Linked DNA regions of Pelodiscus sinensis. The protein of the gene in region 1 purifies or fractionates together with the protein of each later gene. This does not show direct contact. Links are inferred from orthologs where the notes say so. Each region holds a gene or a part of one and is shown on either strand. Other genes may lie near its edges.

Evidence for each region. The genes of interacting proteins can lie anywhere in the genome.
Region 2: the proteins of LIN37 (region 1) and MYBL2 purify together in Homo sapiens (affinity purification with mass spectrometry; 6 studies listed by BioGRID and IntAct, counting the BioPlex papers as one, with this or other methods). This does not show direct contact. The link is inferred for Pelodiscus sinensis from reciprocal best matches to the Homo sapiens genes LIN37 and MYBL2.

What each region holds. Positions count from the first base shown.
Region 1 is NC_134734.1:5,194,745-5,198,489, forward strand, and holds the start of LIN37 (protein lin-37 homolog), read left to right. Parts: upstream 1-831; 5' UTR 832-846; coding exon 847-856; intron 857-2,963; coding exon 2,964-3,017; intron 3,018-3,745.
Region 2 is NC_134728.1:29,651,719-29,655,463, forward strand, and holds the start of MYBL2 (myb-related protein B), read right to left. Parts: upstream 2,447-3,745; 5' UTR 2,295-2,446; coding exon 2,248-2,294; intron 495-2,247; coding exon 309-494; intron 1-308. UniProt on the Homo sapiens protein: Transcription factor involved in the regulation of cell survival, proliferation, and differentiation. Transactivates the expression of the CLU gene.

The DNA of each region.
Region 1 (3,745 bases):
GGCAGGAGGGGGTGGGTCATTGCGGGGGGGGTGGGGCGGGGTATGTGAGGGGCAGGAGGGGGTGGGTCATTGCGGAGGGGTGGGGCGGGGTATGTGAGGGGCAGGAGGGTGGGTCATTGCGGGGGGGGTGGGGAGGGGTATGTGAGGGGCAGGAGGGGGTGGGTCATTGCGGAGGGGTGGAGCGGGGGTATGTGAGGGGCAGGAGGGGGTGGGTCATTGAGGGGGGGTGGGGCGGGGTATGTGAGGGGCAGGAGGGAGTGGGTCATTGTGGGGGGGGTGGGGCGGGGTATGTGAGGGGCAGGAGGGAGTGGTCATTGCGGGGGGGGGTGGGGAGGGGCATGTGAGGGGCAGGAGGGGGTGGGTCATTGCGGAGGGGTGGAGCGGGGTATGTGAGGGGCAGGAGGGGGTGGGTCATTGCGGAGGGGTGGAGCGGGGTATGTGAGGGGCAGGAGGGGGTGGGTCATTGCTGGGGGGTGGGGCGGGGTATGTGAGGGGCAGGAGGGGGTGGGTCATTGCGGGGGGGTGGGGCGGGGTATGTGAGGGGCAGGAGGGGGTGGGTCATTGCGGGGGGGTGGGGCGGGGTATGTGAGGGGCAGGAGGGGGTGGGTCATTGCGGGGGGGTGGGGCGGGGTATGTGAGGGGCAGGAGGGGGTGGGTCATTGCGGGGAGGGGCGGGGTATGTGAGGGGCAGGAGGGGGTGGGTCATTGCGGGGAGGGGGCGGGGTATGTGAGAGGCAGGAGGGGGTGGGTCATTGCAGCACTGTCCCCCACTGCAAGCTTGGCCAGTTCTGGCTCTGCTGTTCCTTTTGGTAGCTGGCTCACGTTCCCCAAGGAAATGTGCCCCAAATGAAAAAAGGTAGTGGTGCCAACTGCAAGGAGCCAGAAGCCCTGAAATCCTGACGATTGTCCAGGGTTTGAGCAGTCCTGAGGCAGAAAAGCATCTGCAAGATCCAGCCCCCTTCCCTCCCACTCTGTTTGGCTTTGGGCTTGCACCTTTCCCTGAGGTTTTGTCCACTTCAGTGCATCTGCTGGAGAACTTGGCTTACTCTGCACTTGGCCCATTTCAGTTTCTCTGTGTGGCTTTGCCCAGCGGCTAGAAAAACAGGCCAAAGAAAAGCTTTGCCCAGTGGCGGGTTGGGCGGTCAGTCCATCCTTGCTGCTGTTCCTCAGGTGTTGAGCACACCAGGCTGGCTCTGACCTATCTGGGGCTTCTGAGGGCCAATGAAGTTTGTCGTTTTTGAAAAATCTGGCAACTGGATTCATCATGAAAGGGTCAGGACCAGTGTTCCCTCCAATGTTTTATGTCTGTGTGTGGAATTACTTTTGTTATATGCACCATATGGAGGAGACAATTATGGCACACACTCACAGGTCACGCCCACACTTGGCCCATACCGTCCCTGGGCAGAACCCACTCCAGTGTGACAGCCCTTTATCTGCAAGTCCTCTCTCTCCCTGGGGTCTGCCCCTCTGTCTCCTGGGACAGTGATTCTAGAGGCCTTCAGCAGACCTGTCTCTGCTGTAGGCCCCCAGGGCCTCCACTCCCAAAGGGAATAGTTCAGCCCTGTTCTCCAGACCAAAGCAACTCTCAGTGTAAAACAGGAGGGTTTATTGAACACAACAAAGGGACCCTCAGGCCTGTAGGCCTGGCCCCTCTCAGCCCAGCATGTCTGAGTCTCCCCTGCAGCTGAGTGGGCTCTGCCTAAACTCTCCCTTTCCAGTTCAGAAGCTCCCTTCTTCCAGCTGAGTCCCCTCCGCAGCCTTTGTCTTCAGTCCAGAAAAATAGGGTTGCCTGGGCCCCTCTGCTCTCTTCTCCATTCTTTATTCTCTCTCCCCCCAGCTCCCCACTCCCCACCCCGCTGGAACAAGCTGAGCAGGTCACCCAGGTCTTGTTTCTGCAACCCATTATCCTCCCACTGGCCAGACCTGGCTCTGCCCTCCGAGCTGGGCCTGCCAGTCACTGGGGTCTCCTGTACTGTCCCCTGTAACAACAAACTCCCTCTTCTCCCCTTGTTAAACCAGTAACACCCAGGGACGCTGAGTGCCTCCTCTGTGCGTGCAACCTCTTTGCACTTCCCCACTCAGTCACACAAGTCATTCTACACAGGGACAGTGTGTGGCAGTGATAAGGCTGAGGAGGTGTAATTGGGGGCTTTGGGCTGGGGCAGGTAGTTGGGGTACAGGAGGGGGTGAAGTCTCCAGCGAGGATGTGGGCTCTGGAGTGGGCTTGGGAATGAGGAATTTGGGGAGGGGCTGAGGCCTGGGCTTGGAGTGCAGGAGAGGGTACAGGCTCCGGTCTGGGGGTGGGGCCAGGAATGAGAGATTTGGGGTCCAGGTGGTAGTCTGGGTTGGGAGGGGTCAGGTGGGGGGCTGGGGCTTGGGCTTACCTGGGTGGTTCCTGGCCTGTGGTGCTAAGGCAGGCCTGGTGCATGCCTCTTGGGGCACCCCTCTGGGCCCCAGAAGCAGCCAGCATGTCCAGCTCCAGGGGATGGGAGGGGCATGAGGCTCCACTGTGCACCATGTGCACTGCTCTCACCCCTGTGCACCACAAGAACCAGCCAGTGGGAATGCGCAGCTGGTGTAGAGCCTCCCCCCGGGACCTGCTACTTACTGCTTCCCTGCCAGCCCAGCACAGAACTGCCCTGGCTGCAGCAGCTCTGGGCTGGGGCTGCGGGAGGGTCACCTCTCCCCCGACTGTGGCAGCTTCGGGGCTGGGGAGAGGCATCTCTCTCCACTGCAGCCCTGAGCCCCCTGGTGGGGCTTAACAGGAGGTTGTGGAGCTTAGAGGGAGGTTAGATCAGGAGACCAGGGTTTTATTGCCCCCTCCTTGCCCCCTGAGCCAAGATAGTACCCAGGAGTCCTGACTCCCAGTTTCCCCCAGCTATAACCCATCAGCCGCCCACCCTGCTCTCCATGCCTGTGTCTCTGTAGCTCGCTCTCTGATGCCCGACCTTTCTCCACAGGGTTCCTGGCTCCTGTCACCATGCTGCCTACGAAGGTGGAAACCGAGAAGCAGGGTGGGTTCTATACCCCTGTGGGTCTGCCTGGAGAACACTGGTGATACCAGATGGCAGGGCGGGCACCCCCCAGCCATCTATGCTGAGATTCCAGCTTCCCCCCCAGCCACGCCCTGAAAGACAATCCCACCCCACAGCTACACTATGCCCAGTGGCTGATTCATTCTAAGACAGCCACAGAGCCTGTGCCTTGTAGGGCAGGGTGATCATGTGGGTGGTGTTGGGGGTTGGGTGCTGGTCCAGTCACGGTCTGTCCCCACTTACCCTGTAACCCGGGTATCTTTGCTCCCCATGCAGCCTGGGATGTCCATAGCTAGCCTACAGGTCACACCGCGAGTGTGTGCTAGGCAGCCCTGGCTCAGCAGCCTGTCTGCAGCCCCACCAGCAAGCTGACCCCAATGCATTCCCCATCCCTATTTCCCCCGGAGACTTCTCTGCCACATTGTTACCAGATTTGCCCAATACTTTGGGGTATGCTCATTTATCAGGGTTACCCTTATGGGACTGGGGGAAAGTTGACAGTTCTATCAGTGTGCTCTTGGTGCTTACTTGGGCTCTCATATGAAGCTGAATTCTCCCTGCTGCCAATTCCCCCTCCCACTGGAGCTCTCCTGCAGGAACTAGGTTCCTCAGGATGGGGTTCTTCCCACCTTAGCAACACACACAGACACTCACACCCACTAACAGAGCACGTCTGAGAGGACTGGGTACTCAGCACTCACAAGCTG
Region 2 (3,745 bases), on another chromosome or scaffold:
GGTATGCAGCTTCGTCTTATCACCTGGTTTGGGGTTTCATTGTGCTAGGATAATGGGATGTGCCTGGACTTTCTCATAGAATAGAAAGGGAGAACTCGGGTAGGAAGGCCAGTTATACTGCAGAATGACGGCAGAGAGAGGTCAGAGATAGGGACCAGGATAGCTTTAACCCCATTGAGCCAGAAGGTGGCAGAGGTAGATAGCTATCTACTATATATTTCAGAGTCTGTGTCTGTCCTCTAGCCAGAGGACATGCGCGCCTCCCCTGGCTGTGCCCACTGCAGTGGTCATGGTCAGGCACTTCTCACCTGGTCCCAAGCTGCTGCAGTGAGGGAGGGCTGGGGTTGTCTTCTCTTCCCCAAAGCAGCCTGCATCCTGGACCTCTCAGCCCAGCCCCATTCCAGGGCAATGATTTAAATGAAGGAAAAATAAAAATGGAGTCAAGGACCTGAGCAACACCAGGTAAATCTTCTAGTAGATTTAGAATTACATGGCTAAAAATGAGAAAATAAGCAACTTTTCAGTAAGTGTTCTGGGACTTTTTTTCCTTTTGTAAGCAAGTAGTTTAAATGAGCTGAGACTTGAGTGTACCAATACATCAGATTCCTGAAGGGGGTGCAAAAGTCTAGTAAGATTGCACTGCCACATTCCTTTAGGTCAGTGGCTTTCATCTGCTCAAAGGTTTAGTTAACTTGTATGTAGGTGCTGAGTAGAGATGAGAATGGTTAACCCATGCCTGGGAGCAGCCCATCTTACCCCCCCTCCCCACTCTACCATGGGGGGTGCTTGCGGGAGCAGGAGCCAGCACCATTCTTCATGCTGGGCTTGGCTTCTGCCTCCTGCTTCCACCACCACTTCCTTCTCTCCCCCCCCATGGGGGAGGGGGAGAAGGAGGGACTTAGCTCAGCAGAGGTGAGTGACTGTGATCGTGGTTGACTGGGATTTTACAGCCCTAGTGCTCTGTGTTTAGGTACCTACTACAGTAACCAGGAAATTTCTGGTTACTGTAGTATCAAAACTGGGCTTTATGTACCTTTTGGATTTGGCCTACATGTTAAACTAACTTCCACATTCTTCAATCTGTTACACCACCACTGATGTCAATCTTCTCAGATAAATTAATAACTCTTCAAAGCCCCTAACTTACAGACAATAGGGGGGGTAGTCTAAAACTACTCTAACCCAGTTAATAGACTGGTGAAGTCATGTTTTTCCCCTATGAAGGGAAAAACATACGTCTCAATTAATTGCAACTGAGACCCCAAAAGCTACCAGCTGCTGTCTGTTAGCTCTAGGCTGTGGCTAGCTAATATCATTACCATCCCCCATTAGGACAGGAAGTAAAGTGCTCTCTGGCCACTGAAAGGGCAGATCTAAATGCACAACCTGCAAACACCTGGCCTGGAACCAGGGTTATGCTGATCAGAGTCAGGAGAGGGAATAACTTCACCATTCTGAATGTGGAAGTTAGACTGTGGGGAGCAAGTAAGAGTTTTCTATCCCAATATGTGAAACCCTTCTGGCTCCTGAGTTCAAATATCTCCTGCGGGGTGGGGCCGGGCTGGCAGTCTCATGGCTGCGTTTGGGGAGGAAGTCCCCTCTCCCGCTGACTGCTCTGTAGCACTAAGTGACAGCGGTACCCCACAAGCTGCCCTACCACTTCTGTCGTGCTGGAGCGATTTCTCCGGGGTTGACTTTAAGGCAGAACTTAAGGTTTTTCTGCGGGAAGAGCCATTCACAGTCTCATCCCGGCATCTCTGCCCCGCTTCATCGCGGGTCACGCCCCTGAGTGAGCATCCCCCCACGGGACTGGTCCCTGGGGGGGGGGGGGGGCGCACAAAGAAGCAAGAGGGCTGCTCACAAGCGCCTTTCCCTCCGGGAGCCCCTCCCCACTTAGAGGGGGGCGCTCGGGTCCGGGACCGAGACCAGCCTCTCCCCCTCCCCGCGAAGGGAGCTGCTGCCAATCGCCTGCTGGGCGCAGGCTCAGCAGCGCTCGGGCCCGGGCGAGCAGGCGCGGCGGCAGGTGGGTGGGCGAGAGCAGAGGGAACCCCCCTTGTCCCGTGTCCGCCCGCGCCGGCCGGGAGCAGCCCGCCTGGGGGGGAGCAGGGCCCGGCTCGCCGAGTGGCCGGGGAGGGGAGAAGTTACTTAACCCCCCGGGCTGAGTCAGGCCCGCTCGGCCCCTCCCCGGGAGACGCGGCGGCCCCGGGGAGCCTCGCCGGGAGGGGGGGGGCGAACACGTGCGGTTACCTCAGCAACGGCCCCCGGGCGGCGGGGCGCGGCAGGCCCGCCGCCATGCCCCGCTCAGCATCCTGCAGGCCGCGCTCCGCCTAGGCCGGGCGGCGCGCTCCGCCGCGGCGCGCCCAGAGCGGGACACGGGAGGGACATGGCGCCCGGGGAGCCAGCCCGGCGGCGGGGCTGAGGATCCCTCTTCAGGCAGGAAGGAAAACAGCCGGTGGGTACGGGAGCCTGGCGAGGACAAAAGAGGGGAGAGCCGAGCGGACCCGCGGATGTCACTGGCCCCGCTAATCCTCCTGATTGTAGTACAGGTAGTCCCCGGGTTACATACAAGATAGGGACTGGGGGGTTGTTCTTAAGTTGAATTTGTATGCAAGTCGGAACTGTACATGTTGTAGGGGAAACGCTAGCCAAACATTTCTCCAGCGCTCAGTTTTATTCTCCCACACCTCACTTCCCTCAGTCCTTTATTCTCAAGCTGAGGTGTCTGCTGAGAAAAGCCGCTCCGCGTCTCCCTGGTCTGCTGGGGGGGGGCGCTAGCTCCGCGTCTCCCTGGTCTGCTGGGGGGGGGGCGCTAGCTCCGCGTCTCCCTGGTCTGCTGGGGGGGGGGGCGCTAGCTCCGCGTCTCCCTGGTCTGCTGGGGGGGGGGCGCTAGCTCCGCGTCTCCCTGGTCTGCTGGGGGGGGGCGCTAGCTCCGCGTCTCCCTGGTCTGCTGGGGGGGGGCGCTAGCTCCGCGTCTCCCTGGTCTGCTGGGGGGGGGGCGCTAGCTCCGCGTCTCCCTGGTCTGCTGGGGGGGGGGCGCTAGCTCCGCGTCTCCCTGGTCTGCTGGGGGGGGGCGCTAGCTCCGCGTCTCCCTGGTCTGCTGGGGGGGGGGGCGCTAGCTCCGCGTCTCCCTGGTCTGCTGGGGGGGCGCTAGCTTCGCGTCTCCCTGGTCTGCTGGGGGGGGGGCGCTAGCTTCGCGTCTCCCTGGTCTGCTGGGGGGGGGGGCGCTAGCTTCGCGTCTCCCTGGTCTGCTGGGGGGGGGGGGGGCGCTAGCTTCGCGTCTCCCTGGTCTGCTGGGGGGGGGGGGGCGCTAGCTCCGCGTCTCCCTGGTCTGCTGGGGGGGGGCGCTAGCTCCGCGTCTCCCTGGTCTGCTGGGGGGGGGGCGCTAGCTCCGCGTCTCCCTGGTCTGCTGGGGGGGGGTGCTAGCTCCGCGTCTCCCTTGTCTGCTGGGGGGGGGGCGCTAGCTTCGCGTCTCCCTGGTCTGCTGGGGGGGAGGGGCGCTAGCTCCGCGTCTCCCTGGTCTGCTGGGGGGGAGGGGCGCTAGCTCCGCGTCTCCCTGGTCTGCTGGGGAGGGGTGGCACTAGCTTCGCGTCTCCCTGGTTTGCTGGGAGGAAGCAGCTAGTGCGGGGTTGCCTCACCCCGTTTGTAAGTAGGGATCCGATGTAGGTCGGATCCATGTAACCCGGGGACTGCCTGTATTGCAGAGGGGTCCCCATGCTAGACACGCCTCGTGTCCACTCAAGGCAGA